4 linked regions of the Caenorhabditis elegans genome follow. The protein of the gene in region 1 purifies or fractionates together with the protein of each later gene. This does not show direct contact. Each region holds a gene or a part of one and is shown in the gene's direction. Other genes may lie near its edges. The genes, in order: dcaf-13, ddx-27, lig-1 and rpb-9.

The links.
Region 2: the proteins of dcaf-13 (region 1) and ddx-27 fractionate together in Caenorhabditis elegans (co-fractionation; one large-scale study listed by BioGRID). This does not show direct contact.
Region 3: the proteins of dcaf-13 (region 1) and lig-1 fractionate together in Caenorhabditis elegans (co-fractionation; one large-scale study listed by BioGRID). This does not show direct contact.
Region 4: the proteins of dcaf-13 (region 1) and rpb-9 fractionate together in Caenorhabditis elegans (co-fractionation; one large-scale study listed by BioGRID). This does not show direct contact.

What each region holds. Positions count from the first base shown.
Region 1 is NC_003280.10:4,421,931-4,426,991, reverse strand, and holds dcaf-13 (DDB1- and CUL4-associated factor 13), read left to right. Parts: upstream 1-2,089; 5' UTR 2,090-2,097; coding exon 2,098-2,167; intron 2,168-2,219; coding exon 2,220-2,378; intron 2,379-2,431; coding exon 2,432-3,143; intron 3,144-3,749; coding exon 3,750-4,004; intron 4,005-4,227; coding exon 4,228-4,366; 3' UTR 4,367-4,472; downstream 4,473-5,061. Other genes in the region: toe-1 (HEAT repeat-containing protein 1 homolog), read right to left, coding at 1-1,594, 1,640-1,781; bpnt-1 (3'(2'),5'-bisphosphate nucleotidase 1), read right to left, coding at 4,780-5,061.
Region 2 is NC_003279.8:1,766,035-1,770,886, forward strand, and holds the start of ddx-27 (RNA helicase), read left to right. Parts: upstream 1-1,852; 5' UTR 1,853-1,907; coding exon 1,908-2,465; intron 2,466-3,830; coding exon 3,831-4,035; intron 4,036-4,852.
Region 3 is NC_003283.11:10,812,320-10,817,229, forward strand, and holds lig-1 (DNA ligase 1), read left to right. Parts: upstream 1-1,793; coding exon 1,794-1,846; intron 1,847-1,892; coding exon 1,893-2,100; intron 2,101-2,146; coding exon 2,147-2,571; intron 2,572-2,617; coding exon 2,618-3,980; intron 3,981-4,031; coding exon 4,032-4,304; 3' UTR 4,305-4,399; downstream 4,400-4,910. Other genes in the region: C29A12.22 (Transposase), read left to right, coding at 1-25; C29A12.1 (uncharacterized protein), read right to left, coding at 125-184, 231-394, 441-637, 682-806, 852-1,070. UniProt on the Caenorhabditis elegans protein: DNA ligase that seals nicks in double-stranded DNA during DNA replication, DNA recombination and DNA repair.
Region 4 is NC_003283.11:8,010,495-8,014,156, reverse strand, and holds rpb-9 (DNA-directed RNA polymerase II subunit rpb-9), read left to right. Parts: upstream 1-1,811; coding exon 1,812-1,996; intron 1,997-2,430; coding exon 2,431-2,559; intron 2,560-2,611; coding exon 2,612-2,801; 3' UTR 2,802-2,944; downstream 2,945-3,662. Other genes in the region: Y97E10AR.6 (BSD domain-containing protein), read left to right, coding at 209-370, 462-1,307, 1,418-1,516; lmtr-2 (Ragulator complex protein LAMTOR2 homolog), read left to right, coding at 3,051-3,234, 3,343-3,533. UniProt on the Caenorhabditis elegans protein: DNA-dependent RNA polymerase catalyzes the transcription of DNA into RNA using the four ribonucleoside triphosphates as substrates. Component of RNA polymerase II which synthesizes mRNA precursors and many functional non-coding RNAs.

The sequences.
Region 1 (5,061 bases):
GCAGCCTTAACACTGCCTCCATCAATCTGTTTGACTCCTCCAACACCGACAACCTTCACAATCTCCAACACAAATTGCTCGACGTCATCTTCCACCTTACGACTGAAATATTTCTCTCCTCGTTGAGCCATCTCATTCAGAGCCCATTCGACTTTGTCCCATTTCTCTCCGTTCAACCATTCGGTCGCCTTATTGATCGGGTCACCGGAGAAAACTTCTCGTTTCGCGAATTCTGAACTTTGAGCCAGCTTTTGAGCTTTTTCTGAAGCGGTGAGCTTGATTTTCTTGGAAGATGGAGCTTCCTCGGAAATAATTTCAATAGATTCCTCAGATTGAGTGGCAGCGACAGCTTCACTGGCGAATTGCACAATATCTTCAATTTGGTATTCTTTGAGCACATTTTTCAAGGTTTTCTTGTCCTTAGCCTTCAATTCGGCGTGAATCGCATCAAATTGCTTCGCAAATCGCATTCCAATAGCTCGAATATTCGATTTCAGCTTCTTCTTATTATCGAAAATATTTCCGTCCATTCCTTCCTGAAGGATCAGCTTCAAGATTGTTCCAGCTTGATCTCCAGTCAAAATCGAAGCATCTTCAATAGTTTCTATAAGAACATCAATCGCCAAGGTATTATCTTCAGATTCTGCATCTTTTGACAACACAATAAGTTCTTTCCACAGAACATTGAAGAACTTTGTCGTATCTGTACGCTCTGAGAGTTCCTTCAGAATCTTCCAGACATCAATGCCTTCCTCGTGGCGGAGCAGCTTCTTCAGCGTATTCTTCGACAAACTCTGCACGTTTTGCTGCTGGAAAACAACCATCAGAGTCGAAAGTGAAGCTGCTGCGGTGTCCGATCGCATTTTTGTGATCAGCAGCTTGCACATTGAGTTCAAAACCTCATCCTTGAGCTTCACCGTCAACACCAGCTGGGAGATGACAACCATTGCAGAGTAACGGAAAGATTTCATTGGGCTTTTAATTCCATTTTCGATGAACGGCATCAACTTGGCAAGCATCATTTCGTCGACTTTTTCTGGATCCGTGAACATGCTCAACAACAATTTCGCGTGAAAATTGAAGAGAATAGGATGTTTAATTTCCAAATAGTCACTTCCAACAATCTCAACAGCATGTCTGATGTGATCCGTGATACAGGTAATAATCGAATGCTTGCTTGACAACGTGGCTCTTGCGATTGAAGTGAATGGGATTGGTGTCTCCGTCTTCGTGAATTGCTGCATAAATTGCCATTCTTTCGATCTTTTCCAGTCAAAATCCAGAATACGGAGAAGTCTGGAGTAGACTTTGGTCTCGTGGAATGGGAGAAAAGTGAGAAGAAGCGTCTCGGCGTTGAAAGAGTAGATTTGATAAGTGTGGATCAGGAATTCAAGAACTTGTTGGCAAGCGAAATGTTGTAGATACGGAGAAAGTTCCAGAAGAAGCTTTTCGATTTGTTTGTTGAGCTCTTCATTGGCGCCTTTTTCGAGCATTGACCTGACAAAGTCTACACGCTCTTCAGAGAATAGATCGTTGGCGAATTCTGTATCAAAAACTGGGTCGATTCTCTTCATTTGCTCGAGTCCCGCAACTCCTGAAATAATAAAGAATAAATAAATTAAATTCTCGAAGCTCTTACCAATTCTGTGAGCGGTCTCATTTGATAGTTTATTGGCTTCTTTTCTATCGAACAATAAAGAAACATGGCGCTTCTCAACCGTCAAGTGACGAGCGGCCGATGTTCTCAAATTTTCCAACTGGCTTGTCAACGACGTCGCCATTCTTATGATACCCGGGGTTTGGAGAAATAACAGACAACAATTCTGAAAAATGGTAATTTTATTTAATTTTTGAAACAAAAAAAAAACTGTTCAAAGAAAGAAAATTGCGCTTAAAAATGCGAAAATTACAAAAAAATAATTAGAATAAAAAATAAATTTTCGAGTTTAGGGCGCGGTACGTGAACACCGCACGCAAGTTTGCGGACCGCACACCACACTTTACGACACTTAAATTTTTTCTTTTTTATTGTTTTTATATAAGAAAAGCTTTTCGTAATTTTCCTCGAAATTTAAGTGATTTTTTTCAGGTAACAAAATGAAAATCAAGGTGATTTCTCGAAATCCAAACACTTATCAAAGAGAAACCACGGACAAAAGGAACAAAAGTAAGATTTTCCTAGTATTTTATAATTTCATATATTAATTCAATGTTTCCAGTCGTTCGAAACTTCAACACACCAGCGGACCCATTCAGATCTCAAGTTGAATACACACGTGCTCTAAATGCCACGAAATTGGAGCGAGTTTTCGCTAAACCATTCGTTGCGAGTCTTGACGGCCATGTCGACGGAGTTCAAGTTCTTGCAAAGCATCCGAGTAATTGATTTTTCTTGAAAATCTCTAGAAAAAAATATTTTTCAATTTTCCAGATCGCCCATCCACAGTTTTCTCCGGCGCCCGAGATGGTCAAGTAAAAATCTGGAATTTGGCTTCCAGAGAGTGTCAAGCAACTTTAGACGCACATCGAGGACTTGTTAATGATATTTCAATTGATAATAATAATGGAGAAAACTTTGTAACTGTTGGACAGGACAATCAACTCAAATATTGGAAGATCGAAGGACAACAGAAAACGCCGGCCCATTCAATTGCAATGGATGGAATTGTGTATGGAGTCTCTCATCTCTCATTCTCCTCGGATTTTGTCACTTGTGGAGAAGATATTAGTGTTTGGAAGCCGTATCGTGAGACACCACTACGCAGTTATAATCTCGGCACTGACACAATTCACACATGCCGAGCGAATCCAGTCGAAGAGAACGTGATCGTTGGCGCCCGCTCAGATCGTTCGATTTACGTGCTCGACACGCGACAAGACGTTCCACTGAAGAAGGTGACGATGAAAATGCGTCCGAATAAGATCTCGTGGAATCCGATGGAGGCCTATAACTTCACGGTGGCTAGCGAGGACTATAGCCTGTACACATTTGATATGAGATATATGGAACATCCTGTTCAATCTCATCAGGGATTCACGTCTGCTGTGCTTGATGTCGACTATTCGCCGACTGGTCAAGAATTTGTGGCTGCTGGATATGATAGATCTATTAGATTGTTTAAGGCTAGAGATATGACTAGCAGGTGAATATTAATTGCTGAAAATATTGTAGATCGGCAATCTAGAACAGGGATAGCGGCATGTGCCGCTCGGCAAATTTTTTGTCATTTTCGGCAAATTGCCGATTTGCCGGAAATATTCAATTTTGGAAATTCACCAGATTTCTGATTTTTCGGAAATTTTAATTTTCGGCAAATTGCCGATTTGCCTGAAATTCTTAATTCCACCAATTTGCCGGATTACCGATTTGCCGGAAATTTTGATTTGTGGGAAGTTGCCGATTTGCCGGAAATATTCAATTTCGGAAATTCGTCGGATTTCTGATTTGCCGGAAATTTTGATTTGTGGCAAGTTGCCGATTTGCCAGATTTCTGATCTGCCAGAAATTCACCAGATTTCTGATTTCTCGGAAATTTTGAATTGTGGCAAGTTGCCGATTTTGCCGGAATTTCCAAAAAAAAAAGTGCAATTCCACCAATTTGCCAGTTTGCCGATTTGCCGGAATAGTCAATTCCGGCAATTTGGTGATTTGCTGGAAAAATCGTTTGCCGCCCACCCCTAATCTAGCACTCCAAAATTTTAAAATATAAACTTCAAAATTAGAATTAATTCGAATTCTACAATTTCAGAGACGTCTACTACACAAAACGAATGGCCTCAGTCCTCTCCGTACTCTGGTCTGCTGATTCGAAATTCGTTCTATCTGGAAGTAACGAAATGAATATTCGTGTCTGGAAAGCGAATGCCGCGGAGAAGCTTGGACCACTCACAAAACGAGAGAAACAAGCTTTCGCTTATAATGAAAAACTTCGAGATACCTATAAGAACCATCCAGAAGTACGAAGAATCGCAAAGCATCGCAATGTGCCAAGACATATTTTCACGTGGGTTTTTTGCAGAAAAAATTCAGAATTTTTGGCCAATTACACTGAAAAATAGTGCCAAAATGAAGAAAATCACTTGATTTCTCTGAAAATAGCATTTATGCTGCTGAAAATAATATTATTTTCAGAGAAATCAAGTGATTTTCTGTATTTTCTCACTAATGTTCGTTTTGGAAAAACAACATTTTGTGGAAATTCCAAAGCAAAACTAAACAATTTTCAGAGCCGCCAAGGAGCACAAGCTTATCAGAGACGCCCGCGGACGACGAGATTTCCGACGAGCAAAAGCCGCTGGACTCGACGAGGAGGAATCATATCTGCCACAGACTCAGAAGATTATGGTTGGAGATGCCGAAATGTGAAGCAGCAGCGTCGTTTTTTCTTTTGTTATTTGTTGTTGTTTTCAAGTTTATCACACTTTTTTTTTTTGGTTGTTCTCCTATTTTTCCCAAAAAAAATCCTTGTTTTTAAATACCGCTAAATCAAAAAAAAATTATTTAGAGAAATTCGAAAAACAAAAAAATTAACCGAAGAATCGAAAAATTTTCGATTTTATTTCAAAAAAAAAAATCTCGATTTTTCGGCCATTTTTTCATTTTTTTTTTCGAAGAAAATAATTATGTTTTTTTATCGATTTTCCGTAAAATCGAAAATTTAAAAAAAAATTTGATAATTCATAATTTCATTTACAACACTAAAAAAAGAAAGAAAAATATTTAGACATGAAAGAAAATGATATTAAAAAGGAAAAAAATTAAATTTGGAATGCTTCAGATCACTTTTTCGATGAAATCTCCGGCAACATATTCTTGATTTCTTGTGGAATCGTATCGATATAATCCTTATGCTTGACCCATGAAGCCGTCGCCAGTACTCCTCCCGTATTATTAAGCTGCACACCGGGCTCATATCGAATATCACGGCCCGAAATGTCCGTAAGAGTTCCTCCAGCAGCAGTCAACACGGCTTCAACTGCACACGTGTCCCATTTCTTACAACCAGCACTTGCAAAGACATACGCTGCACACCCTTCCAGAACTTTGAGCACCTTGAATCC
Region 2 (4,852 bases), on another chromosome or scaffold:
CTCTTCACGTCAAATGCACTTTTTTCTGGATTTTTTTGTTAAAAAATTTGAAATTCTCGTGTTTTTTCTTCTGAAAAATTGCTTTTTTTGATTTTTTCTGTAATTTTTTTTTTGTTGATTTTCTTAATTTTTTTAATTTTCAAAAAATCTTTTTCATCTCTTTCTCTCTCTCTCTGAATCTCAATTTTTTCCTGAATTTCCCCGTTTTTTTCTGATAATTTTCAATATTTCTCTGAATTTTTCTATTCCCCCCGTTGTAATGCCAAAATATGTGGTAATTTCTCCCCATTTTTTCGCTTTATTACTATTTATTCTATTCAATTGGTGCCTCTCTCAATGTGTTGTATGAAAAACACTGTTTTATGGAGGTTTTGGAGAATTTTGAATTTTTTCGTCGTGATTTTTATTGGTTTTCTTTACCAATTCAATTTTTTTTTTAATTCGAAAATTTGTAGAAATTCACTTTTGTAGCTTAAAAAATTAAAAATTGAGAAAATTTGTTCAAAAATGGCAAAGTTTTCGAAATTTTAGTCTAAAAAAAGATTTTTTTAATATAGAATTTTAAAAAATTAGCACAGAAAAATGCCGAAAAATTCGTAATTTTTCATTTAAAAATGAAAAAAAAAAAAAACAAAAAAAAAAAAAAAAAAGAGGGAAAAATCCCATTAAAAGTAGTTTTTTGACTGCAAAATCGTCTGGAAATTAACAAAATTTAAAAAAATCTTTTTTACAGCCCATCGTTTCCAAAAACCAAATAAAATGCCAAAAAAAAATTTTTATGCAAAAATTCTGGATTTTTTTCCGATTTTTTCAAAAAATTCCCCCTTCTAAAAAAAATGGTGAATTTGTTCCCAAAAACCCAAAATTTGAGATTTTCTAAAATTTTGGCAAAAATTAAGAATTTCACGGTTTTGAGAGGGAAAAACTCCATTAAAATTGATGATTTTATGACTAAAAATTCCTAAAAAATCAATTTTCAGTCAAAAATTAAATTTTTTGAAATTCTAGCTAAACATTAAGAAATTCACGGTTTTGCGAGGAAAATCTATTTAAATCGATATTTTTTGACTGAAAAATCCCTGAAAAATCAAAAATTTTTGGCTAAAAATTGAGAATATTTTTTGTTTTAAAAAAATCATTGAAATTGATTTTTTTGTTTTAAAATTTCCATAAAAATCGCGGAGAAGTCAATTTTCAGTCATAAATCTTCTGAAAATTATCCAAACAATGGGATTTTCTGAAATTTTAGCTTGAAAATTGAGAATTTCCCGGTTTTGTCATGGAAATTCCATTACAATCGATATTTTTTGACAGAAAAATTGCTCTGGAAATTAACAAAAACCAAATAAAATGTCAATTTTTTTTAAATCCAAAAATTGTTGGATTTTTTCAGAAAAAAATATTTTTTCAATTGACTGGTGTCCAAAAAATATAGAAAATTCAAATTTTCCAAGAAAAATAGCCAAAAAAATGTAATTTTTGTCTAACAAAAAAATTGAATAGCGCAAAATTAAATTGTCGTTTTTTTTAAATTTCCCGGTTTTGAAAGGAACAAATTCCATAAAAATCGAAATTTTTTGACTGAAAAATCCGTGAAAACTAGAATTTTGAGTCAAAAATCCTCTGAAAATGCTCCAAAATATGAGATTTTCTGAAATTTTAGCTAAAAATTGAGAAATTCACGGTTTTTTCAGAGAAATTCCATTACAATCGATATTTTTCAAGTGAAAAATCCTCTGGAAATCAACAAAAACCCAATAAAATGCCCTAATTTTTTTAATCCAAAAAAATCTGGATTTTTTCAAAAAAAATTCCCTCCCCCACTAAAAAAATCGTATTTCCCAATTTTCAGAGCCAAAAAAAAAATGGTGAATTTGTTCCCAAAAACCGTCGAATCCGACGAAGAAATGGAAATCGACGAGTCGGACGACGAGCAAGTCCAAGACGAGGCAGTAACCGTCAGAAAGAAGAAGAAAATGGCGAATGCCGCCGAAGAATTTGCTCAGGATTTCATTTTTGAGTCAGGCGACACCCAATTTATCGATCGAGAAACCGAGGATCTTCAGAAATATCTGAAAAAGCAGACGCCAACGTCACTGGACGAGAAAATCGCCGAAATGAGAAAGTTGAAGAATACGGGAAAAGCTGTAATTGTTGAGGATGAAGCTGAAGCTGCTGAAGCCGAGGAGAAAGATGAAGAAGAGGATGATGTTCAACAATTGGGTGGAAAAGAGACACGAGATACTGTACGAGAGAAGAGAAAAAGTGGAAAATCAAAGAAATCCCAGGAAAATGAGGATTTCTTTTCGGCGCTGATTGATGGAAAAAGTCTCGACACGAGTGTTAATGTATCATTTGAACAAATGAATTTGAGCCGACAGATTTTGAAGGCGTGCTCCGGCGCTGGATATTCGGATCCGACGCCTATTCAACAGGCGTGTATTCCGGTCGCACTTACTGGAAAGGTGAATTGCTGTTTTGCGGAGAATTTTTTTTTTTGGAAATTTTCTGACAAAAAGTAGAGGTGGAGTAGTGAAATGTCTGGGAAATATTTTTATTTGACTCCAAATTATTATTTTGAAAAAAATTTAGGCAAAAAAGGATTGAAAAATCTTAAAATTAATGTTTTGGTTTATTTTTTGCCAAAAATCAATTTTAGTTTTTTTTTTACCTTTGGGAAAAATTGAAAAATTCAACATTAATGAAAAACTGGAAAGATGCCCGAAAAATCGTTTTTTTTTCCAAAAAAAAAATTTAAAAAGAGAAAAAATTGAAGAACATTCAAATTTTCCAAAAAAAATATATATTCTTCCGAAAAAAAAATTTTCACAAAAAAAAATACCAAAAACGGATATGTATATTGAAGGAACCAGAAATTTTTCGTTCTCAAAAAAATTTGCTTCCTTTTCAAAAAAAAAAACACAAAAAGCCAATGATTAACATTTTTGTCAGGACTAAATTTTTAAAAAATTCTTCAGCAAAAAATCAACTTTCACTTAAGGTAATGTTTCTATCATTTTTGCGAAAAAAAAAACAATTCTCGTGAAAAAAATTATTTTTTCTGAAAAAATAACCAGATTGGGGTTTTTTTTATTAGACTGCTGTCCAAAAAAAAATTGAAATTTTCAAAAAAAAAACAACAGGCGTGTATTCCGGTGGCACTTACTGGAAAGGTACTGCAATCTTGCGGAAAATTTTTTTTTGGAATTTTTCTGACAAGAATTAAAGGTGGAGTACCGAAATTTGAACCTTTGCTTTTTCCGACCCGAAATGGTCCAAAACTACCGAATTTCATAATGAGACTTCACGAAAAATTTCCAAAAATTTTTTATGGCCGGTCATAATTTCGAAAAAAAAGAGCCAAATTTTGCTAAAATCTGAAATTTCGCAAACTTTTCTTTGTCATAGCCGCTGGTTTTTAGTTTTTCTGAAATTATCACCTTTTAATCTTTATTTTGGTAATTTATATCACGGAAATTCGATGATTGAGACAACTTTTAGGCTGATAGGCATCCAAAAATATAAATTACCAAAATAAGGATAAAAAGGTGATAATTTCAGAAAAGTTAAAATCCAGCAGCTGTGACAAAGAAAAGTGTGCGAAATTTCAGATTTTAGCAAAATTTGGCTCTTTTTTTTTGAAATTTTGACAAGCCATAAAAAATTTTTGGAAATTTTTTGTGAAGTTTCATTATGAAATTCGGTGTTTTCAGACAATTTTAAGTCTAATAAAGCAATTTAAAAAATTCGACTACACCTCCTTTAAAAAAAAAGGACATTTAGTGATTTTTTTTTTCTTCAAAAATTGATCTAAAACTGTTCAATTTCAGGACATTTGCGCCTGTGCAGCGACTGGAACCGGAAAAACCGCCGCCTTCGTTCTTCCAATTCTCGAACGTATGATTTATCGTCCGAAAGGTGCCAGTTGTACACGTGTACTCGTTTTGGTACCAACTCGTGAACTGGCAATTCAAGTATTCCAAGTTTTCCGAAAATTATCGACGTTCATTCAATTGGAAGTTTGTCTGTGTGCAGGTTAGTTGGAGAATGCGATGATTTTTTGGGAAATTTTGGGAAGAAAAAGCCAAAATTTACAGTGTAAAAAATTGGAATTTTTAAAAAATTTAATATTAAGTTTGAATTTTCGGAGCAAAAGCTGCGAATATTGTTAAAAATCTGAAAAAATCTAAAAAATATGATTTTTTGAATAAAATTTTTCAAAAAATTAAAAAATTGCTGAAAAAGCAATTTTTTTGTGAAAAAATCAGAAAAATACTAATTTTATTATAAAAATATTAATTTCACCGGAAATTTTCCAATTTTTGAGAAAATCTGAAAAATAAAAATTTTTGGATTTTTTGGAACATTTATGAAAAAATCAAAAAAAACCAATTTTTTTTCAAAAAATAAATAGGAGATATATCATCAAAAAATCAATTTTTTCAAAAAAAAACTGATATTTTTTGTCGGATTTATCTCGAAAAAATTAAATTTTCCGGAAATTTTGGCATTTTCTAGACAGAAAAATCCGAAAAAATTGGATAAAATTTATCAAAAAAATTGAAAAAATAGCTGAAAAAAGCAATTTTTTTCGTTAAAAAATCGGAAAAATAGAAAATTTATTTTAAAAATTAATTTTTTTCAACAAAAAACGGCCCTTTTTTGTAAAATCGGATTTATCTCGTAGAAATTTAAATTTTCCGGAAATTTTGGCATTTTTTGGAGAAAAATCTGTAAATATTGTTTAAAATCTGAAAAATAAAATTTTTTGGATAAAATTTACCAAAAAAAAAATCAATTTTCAAATTTTTCCAAAGAAAAACTGATATTCTTTGTGTAAAATCGGATTTAT
Region 3 (4,910 bases), on another chromosome or scaffold:
GGAAACTGATAAATATGTGAATTGATATTGTGAATATATTTATGGTACATGAAAAACGACTTATATAAAAGCTATGAAATGAACAATATAGAGTTATCATCTGTAAGAAATAAATTTAGGCGTCTTATTTGTGATGATGATCGATGTAGTCGTGAATAGCTGATACGCTTCTGCGGATTGTTTTCTAAAATTAAATAGGAATGAAAATAAATCGGAATCCATTTTTATACCTTGACAGATCCCAAAACTTTCCGGCCAAGGCTGCGAGAGCGACGTTTTCTCGGAAGATTGGGCGATTCAAAGGGTGTAGAAATGTCTTCCGCAGGGGTCTCAAAATGTTCGAAATGAGGTGTAACGTTTACAGAATTAATGGCTTCCGCATAAGCAAGGTAAACTGAAACAGTTTATAAATATTAAATCAATCAACCTGAAATTCATACCTTCGTGATCTCTCATAGCTTGTGAACGAGCCTGCTCTTGAAAATCTCGCCGGATATTTTCAGCTTGAAGATCTCTCAGTTTTTTTTCGGATTCCATTGTTTTCTTCAGCTGCTCTTTCTTCAATTGCTCCAGTCGTCTCATAACAATTTCCTTCTCATTCAATAACTTTGCATGCTTTCTTTGAGCATTTGACTTTCTGAAATGATATTTTTAATCCAATTATTTACTTTTTGAACTTACGCGATGAACAATCGCTTGTTCTGGTCGTTATTGACAATTTTGTACATATTTTGTGTGATGGAATTTATTGCATTGACGACATCAACAAGGCATTCCATAACTGGAGCATTGTCGGCAGGATTGATCTGAAAAAGGAAACAAATGTTTGTTAAACACATTCTCGTCTATACCTCCGACACAGTTTCTGCCACGTGAACACGTATGGAAAAATCTTCAAGCTCGTCAGTGAGTGTTCCGGCCCCATCCATCCACTTCTGTGCCCAGGCGACTAGGTTTCGCTGGTTCTCTGGCGCCTTTACATTTTTACACAAATCGAGAAGGACTGCCAACCATTTTGCAGCCTCATTATGTAGTTCATCGAGAAGGTCCTTTTTCTGTGACAGGGACATTCTGAAACAGTGTTAGAAAATGAACATCGATGAAAGACACGTGTATTCAGCTCGACTAACGCCTCGAAAATTTTCAAAAAAGGCGGGAAAAAATATTTGAATTCGCCAAGAGGAATTTCACCGCAGCGCGTGCAAAAATGTCTGCATTTGCGCGTGACGGTGTTTGCACAAATTACACCGAATGGTCGAGCTGAAAACACGTGAAAGAAACTGAATGCCGTTATTTTCCGCGACGTGCTGAAAGTCGGTATTTTTGATGTGCAGGCATTGGAGTACGGTAGCAATGAACTTTTCTTTTGGTAGGTTCAAATGTGTTGTCTAAATATTCTTTTTTTTATTAATTATAGGTCTCTCACTATCTTTTAAAAAGCAAATAGACGATGGTATTTTCAATGTCCCATTTTTCTATTTTTAATAACGTCGACTTTAATCACAAGGAAAGAAGCATTTACGATTTGCCGGTTTTTAACTGTCTATGTCTCTTAGTCTCCACACTCTCTCATGTGCGCGCAATCGTGCTCTAATGCATCTGGTGCGCGCGCCGTTCAAAATGTATCGTTTTCTGGTTCGATTAATACAACTTTATTTTTAATACTTGCTCGATATTCTCTTGATTTTGCACACTGCCAAGTATTTTACGTTGTATCCCTTCACGTATTAATTATTCATCTTCGAAACCTTTTCTTCTCGAATAATGTAAATTTCACATCTTCATCGTTTCAGATGTTTTTCTCAAAAGCTGGCAAAGCCGCTGTTGAATGGGCAAAGGGTTCAAAGTAAGTTTTTTGTGGAACATACTGTTTTTTATTTCTAAATTTTCAGAGTCCCTTACAAGGAGTTTGCTCTCACCCTTGAGAAAATCGAAGAGTTATCGGGAAAAAAGAAAGTGGATGAATTGGCTCAATTTTTCACCAAAGTTCTGGACTTTTCACCCGACGATTTAACAGCGTGCGTGTACATGTCAGTTAATCAGCTCGGGCCATCGTATGAAGGGCTCGAGCTTGGAGTTGCTGAAAATTCGCTGATCAAGGTTTGCATTCCACTGAATCTATATTAAATTATAAAGAAAATTTAAGGCTGTTGCTAAAGCGACCGGACGTACAGAGGGAAAAATTAAAGAAGATCTTCGCGCGAAAGGAGATCTTGGGACTGTCGCACAACAGTCAAGATCCAATCAGAAAATGCTTGCTGTTCCAAAAGCATTAACTGTTCCAACTGTTTTCAACAAGTTAACCGAAATTGCAAAGCTCAGTGGCACTTCAGCTATGAACAAGAAAGTTGATGCCATTAGTGCACTCCTCATTGCATGTCAAGGAATTGAGGCTCGATTCCTCGTCCGAATGCTCGCCGGCAAAATGAGAATCGGTCTCGGTGAACAAAGTGTTCTATCAGCACTTGGACATGCATTCACTCTTTCGAAAATAACTGATCAAAAGGTTCGTGGTGACAAACTCGATTCTCTGAAAGATGCAAATGTTAAGCGAGTAAAGACCGCCTATTGGTAATAATTGTTTCTTTATTAAATTATTCATCTAATTAATTTTCAGCGAATGCCCTAACTACAATCGTCTGATCGAAGTTGCACTGACTGAAGGTGTGGAAGCTCTTGTCGAAAAATGTAAACTTTCACCCGGAATTCCACTGAAACCTATGCTGGCTCACCCTACAAAGGGAATTGATGAAATTATGCGACGATTCAGAAATCAGACAATGACCTGTGAATGGAAATATGACGGAGAACGCGGCCAGATTCATAAACGAGAAGACGGGCAAATTTTCATCTACAGTCGAAACCAAGAGAACAACACTACCAAGTACCCCGATATTATCGAAAAAATTTCATCCTGCATCGGGGATGGGGTAACTTCATTTATTGTCGATGCTGAAGTTGTAGCTATCGATGAGGCTGGCTTAATTCTTCCGTTCCAAGTTTTGTCGACTCGTAAAAGGAAAAATGCAACTGATGATAACGGAGTCAAGGTTGTAGTTTTTCTTTTCGATCTTCTCTACTTCAATGGGGAGCCTCTCGTGAGAAAACCACTCCGAAAAAGAAGAGAACTTCTTCGAACAAACTTCAAAAAGATTGATGGAAGCTTCTATTTTGCAACTTCCGTAGATACAAATGATACTGATGAAATCAACTCTTTCTTCGATGAAGCCGTTCAAAATAAATGCGAAGGACTCATGATCAAAACTCTCGACACTGAAGCTACTTATGAGATTTCAAGACGTTCCCACAGCTGGTTGAAAATGAAGAAAGATTACGTTGATGGAGTAGGAGATACGTTGGATCTTGTCGTCATGGGTGCTTATTCTGGAGTTGGAAAGAGAACTGGAGTGTATGGAGGATATCTTCTCGGATGTTACAATCCTACTACAGAAGAGTACGAAAGTGTATGCAAGATTGGAACTGGTTTCACTGATGAAGATTTGGCCGAGCAATACAAGATCCTACAAGACAAGAAAATTGACAAATCTCCTTCTTATTATCAATTTGATCACACTCTTAAACCAGATGACACTTTTTCTCCGTATCTTGTTTTCGAAGTCAAATGTGCCGATATTACTATATCTCCGCGTCACAAAGCTGCAAGTGGATTGACGGATGATGGAAAAGGAATCTCTTTGAGATTTCCTCGTTTCCTGCGTATTCGGGACGATAAAAATTCCGACGATGCAACATCTTCGGAGCAAGTTCTTGAAATGTACAAAAACCAAGAAGCTTTTGCCAACCAGAAGATCGAAAAGGCGGATGCAGTTGATGAGGATGACGAATTTGAAGAAAAAGAAGATGAAGAGGAGGAGTTGAACATGACCAATGTATCTGAAGGAAGTTCTAAAGAAAATCCAGTGAAAGAGGAGATCAAGAAAGAGACTCCTAAATCAGTATCCCCGAAAAAATTCGAAAAGGTTTTAGTTTTTGAAATTACCATTATCGCTAATTATATATATTATTTCCAGAAACCGCCTGTAAAATCTTCACCAGTTAACAAATCGCCCGTGAAAAGTTCACCAATAAAGAAAGAAGCAGAGAAAAAGAAAGGACCAGTTGCTAGCATCTTTTCATCATCGACAAAGAAGAATGAAAAAGACGTTAAAGTGGAATCTCCATCTCCGATCAGAAAGAAGAAGCTGCCTTCTGATTCTGACGAGTCTGATGAAGAAACCTCAACTAATAAGAAACAGCCAGCAAAGAAGAGGTCTCGCGTTGCAATTGATTCCGATTCCGACTAATGCCAAGCAACTAATACTGAGATACATTTCTGCATATTCAATGATTTACTTTTTGTACTATGTTTCCTAATTTTCTAAGTAAATACCTCACATCGACTTTTTCTTTTGTTCACGGCCGGTCATTTTAAACAACTCATTCATGTGTGCGAATGTGTTGTACTTTCAACTGATTTATTCAGAACTTTGGATTTTGAGTCTTCTATTTAGGAAAGAGATAGACGCTGACCTAGATACCTAGAAACAAACACATAGTAAAACTTTACTAAAAAGACAAATGTATATCTACATTCTACCACGTCTGTGTACTCCTGAATCATCTTCTCTCCTTCGTGCATTCTTCTGTTGTGTCGTTGACTTACGTAGTGCGCATCCGCAAAATTCGATTTGCAGTTCAATACGGGAGAGCAGAAAGCATAAGACATTCTGATGCCTCAAACCAATTCAATTAATATTCTTAAGTTTCAAACAAAAAGTTTATTTAGAATTAAAACTTTGAAGCAATAATTAAAACTTTGAACAAATCTAGGTGAATTTGTCACGTCATTCCATGAATCCGCTACTATCCAAAAAAGCGTATCGGGAAAGAATCGTAACAGGTATCCTTCT
Region 4 (3,662 bases), on another chromosome or scaffold:
CTTCTCTGCCTCATTTAGCCGAGTCTTCTCTGTGTTTTCTCCCATTTCAGCCTTTTTTTGCTTTTGTTTTTCTATTTTTCCATTTTCTGTTCCAGATATCTTCTCGTCTCATTCGTTTCTTCATCCTCTTTCGAAAATTAGATTCCGTGCAATAAATGAGTCCCTTCTCATGGCATTTTCTCCAGCTAATTCACTCATTTTTCAGAGAATGTCGGAAAAACCCGAAGATGTAAAAGTCGAGGAAACCGATGAGGAAAAACCGAAAACCACGGAAGATTCCGGATTCGCTGGCGGATTTGGAGCTGCTAGTTCATGGCTCAACCAGGGTTCCTCTTGGGGAGCATCATTTTTGAATTCTGCCAAGGAAAAGGTAAGTGCATAATTAAATTTCGCAATAATTGTGTTTTATCCTATTTTACTTCACAAAAACAATGAAAATTCCTTCTAAAAACAAATTTCAGACGATGACAACTCTTGACCTAGTCAAAAAGGATTTGAACGATTTGAGTGAAGCCGTCTCTGCTGAAGTAACCGATCTTGCTTCAGCTGCAAAAGAAGGTTTCGGGACTGCTGCAAATGCTGTCAAACAACAAGCTCAGATGCTGGAGAAGCTTGTGACTCCGAATGAAGAAGAGAAACCATTACCAGGAGAAGGAGACGATAATGGTGAATCATCGGAACAGAAAACAGGAACTGAGAAACCAAAACTGGAAAGCTCGAACTCTCTGAGCTTTGGATGGATGACTAAGATTGTGGATACGGTTACAGATACGGTCAAGAATTTGGCAATGGAAGAGACCACTACCGGAGAAGACGATTTTACTGAAGCTATCAAGCCCAAGAAAGATAGAAAAACTTGTTTATCAAAATTGAAGCTCTCCGAAATTCAATCCAACGAATCTATCTATCTCACTGAACCAGGAAATTCTGAATTTTATGAAAGATGGATTTCTCGCTTCAATTTAGACGAATATGACGGAGAGATCAATATTCTTCTTGCAAACAATCCATCATTGCGTCAAATGTTTGCAAATCTTGTTCCAGGCAGTGTCAATCATGAAACATTCTGGAAACGGTATTTCTATGCTATCGAGGTTGCTGAAATGGAGGAAGAAATGAACAAGTCGACACTCTCCGAGGCATTGAATGTTGATACAAAATCACCAAAGAAATCGAAAAGAAAGGGATCATCTGGAACATCATCAAAGAAATCATCACCATCATCTGAATCGTCTGTAGTGGTTGTAGAAGAGCCAACGAGTCCGTCACAATCTGAATGGAGTGTTTGCAGTGAAAAGAATGTTGAGGTTCGTTTTGTCGCTGAACCATAATTTTTTTTTCGAAAAATTTGCACCAAATGTTATTAAAAGTGCTGCCCAATTATTGAAAATCGATAGCAATGTCAAACTAGTTATAGGAAATTCCATCAAATGACGAAGATGACGAAAAGGGACCATTGACACCTCGACCTGAAAGCGAAAAGAAAGAAGAAGGATGGGTTAACTGGGATGAATAATTCAAATGCTCTTTTTTCACTAAATTCACTTCTTTTTCGATATTCTACATGTTCCTGTCAATAATTCCACTGTCACTCCTATCTCTTTAAAGCTTCTAGAATCAAATGGCTAGCATCATTCCCCCATTTCTTTATTTTATGGAATTCTTTTTTATATGTATATACAAAGTTAGAAAGGTCGGTTTTCCTTCTTCGAATAATCTTATCTCTCCTCTGTTGGTTTGTAAATAAAAATTGCATTTTTATTTTATTTTCCACATTTTTGATTCGCTATTTGTGGTTTTCCATTCCACTAATGTATCTGCAATTAAAATCAAAGCTTGAAAATGTTTTATCATATTTTTTCAGAAAGATGAGCCAAGGGTATGATAATTACGATGATATGTACGATCAAAACGGTGCATCACCGGCGCCGAGTCAAAACGAAAAACCCGGGAAAAGTGGGCCTGGTTTTGTTGGAATCAAGTTTTGCCCAGAATGGTAATTAGTTTTATATTATTTAGGAAATTATTTCCGGCAATTTCACAAAGTGGCCGATTGCGCCTTGTTGTTTCAACATTTTTCATTTAAAATTAGTGTGAAAATATTGAAATTAAATTGATTTAACTGGAAATATCATTTTCAGCTGGAACATTATCGAGCTTTGTTTTTTTTTTTGAAAATCGGTAACTTGCATGCCATTTTTAAGCACTTTCTGAAGTTTTTCAGCCGAAAATAATGTTATTTTCAGTAAAATCAACTGAATTACTATATTTTGATACTAATTTTAAACTAAAAATGTTGGAACAAAATGGCGCAATATGCCATTTTGTAGAATTGCCGAAAGAAAATTGCACCCACCTCTGGCTCAAAGCTAATAATAAAGACAAAATGATGAAAATTTGAAAAAAAACATCAAAATTGTTAAACTTCAGCAATAATATGCTGTACCCACGAGAGGATAAGGAATCACGAGTTTTGATGTATTCCTGCCGGAACTGTGAGCATCGTGAAGTCGCCGCTAACCCGTGTATCTATGTGAATAAGCTCGTTCACGAAATTGAGTAAGTTCATTGTCAAATTGACTCATTTTCTAAATCAATTGGATTATTTCAGTGAGCTCACTCAAATCGTCGGAGATATTATTCACGATCCAACGCTCCCGAAGACTGAAGAACATCAATGTCCAGTCTGTGGCAAAAGTAAGGCTGTCTTCTTCCAGGCTCAAACAAAAAAGGCAGAAGAAGAGATGAGATTGTACTATGTATGTGCATCGCAAGATTGTCAGCACAGATGGACGGAATAAAACATAGTGTCCAATTGTTTTCTATTTATTTGAAACGTTTTCTTAATCGTCAATTGTTGTTTTATTCCTTATTTCTAAAATAATGTTTTTTCGGATCTCCATATGTTCCCTACCTGTTCCAATAAATTCAAATCATCATTCAATTTTTCGATTATATTTTTTCTAATTCTCGGTTTTTACCGTACTCTTTGGTTATTTTCAAAATTAAAACTTTCTAACTAGTAACCGTAATCCAAAACTTTAAAATAGATGCTGAAACAGAAAGCGCTGGTTGATGTTCTCGGACAGGTGAACACAAGCGGTGTTGATGGTTCGTGGCTTTTCAATAAGGAAGGATTGCTCCTTGCCTACGTCGGAAGCGAACAGAAAGCCGTTGCATCAAACGTCTCATCTGCACTTATAGCCAGTGTCTGGGCTGCTCTCGAGAGAAGAGGTAGATTTTTTAAAACATGCTCATAATCAGTCTATTTCAACTGGAAAATTACCAGTTCACATTCTTCAAAGTTTGAAATCAAACACCTCGATCAAGTTGTAATTACAGCCAACGATCTGAAAGAAACTATTCTCGTTCTGGAGAATGGAGTAATTGGTTGCACACTCGTCGCTCGTACAATGCTTCTGGCAGTCAAGGCCGACAAGAGTGCCGATTTGGGAATGGTCCGCGCTAAGCTTCATACACTGGCCGCCTACCTCGAGCAGCCGATTCTTTCAATTTCTCACGATTTGGGATGATCGATGTATTATCTTATATTTCTATCGGGTCTCATTCATCCCATCCAAATTCCATTTTATTTTTTTCCAATTTACTAACAATGAATAGATCATTTCACGCCATTCTTGTTTTTTTTAAGAACTTTTAAA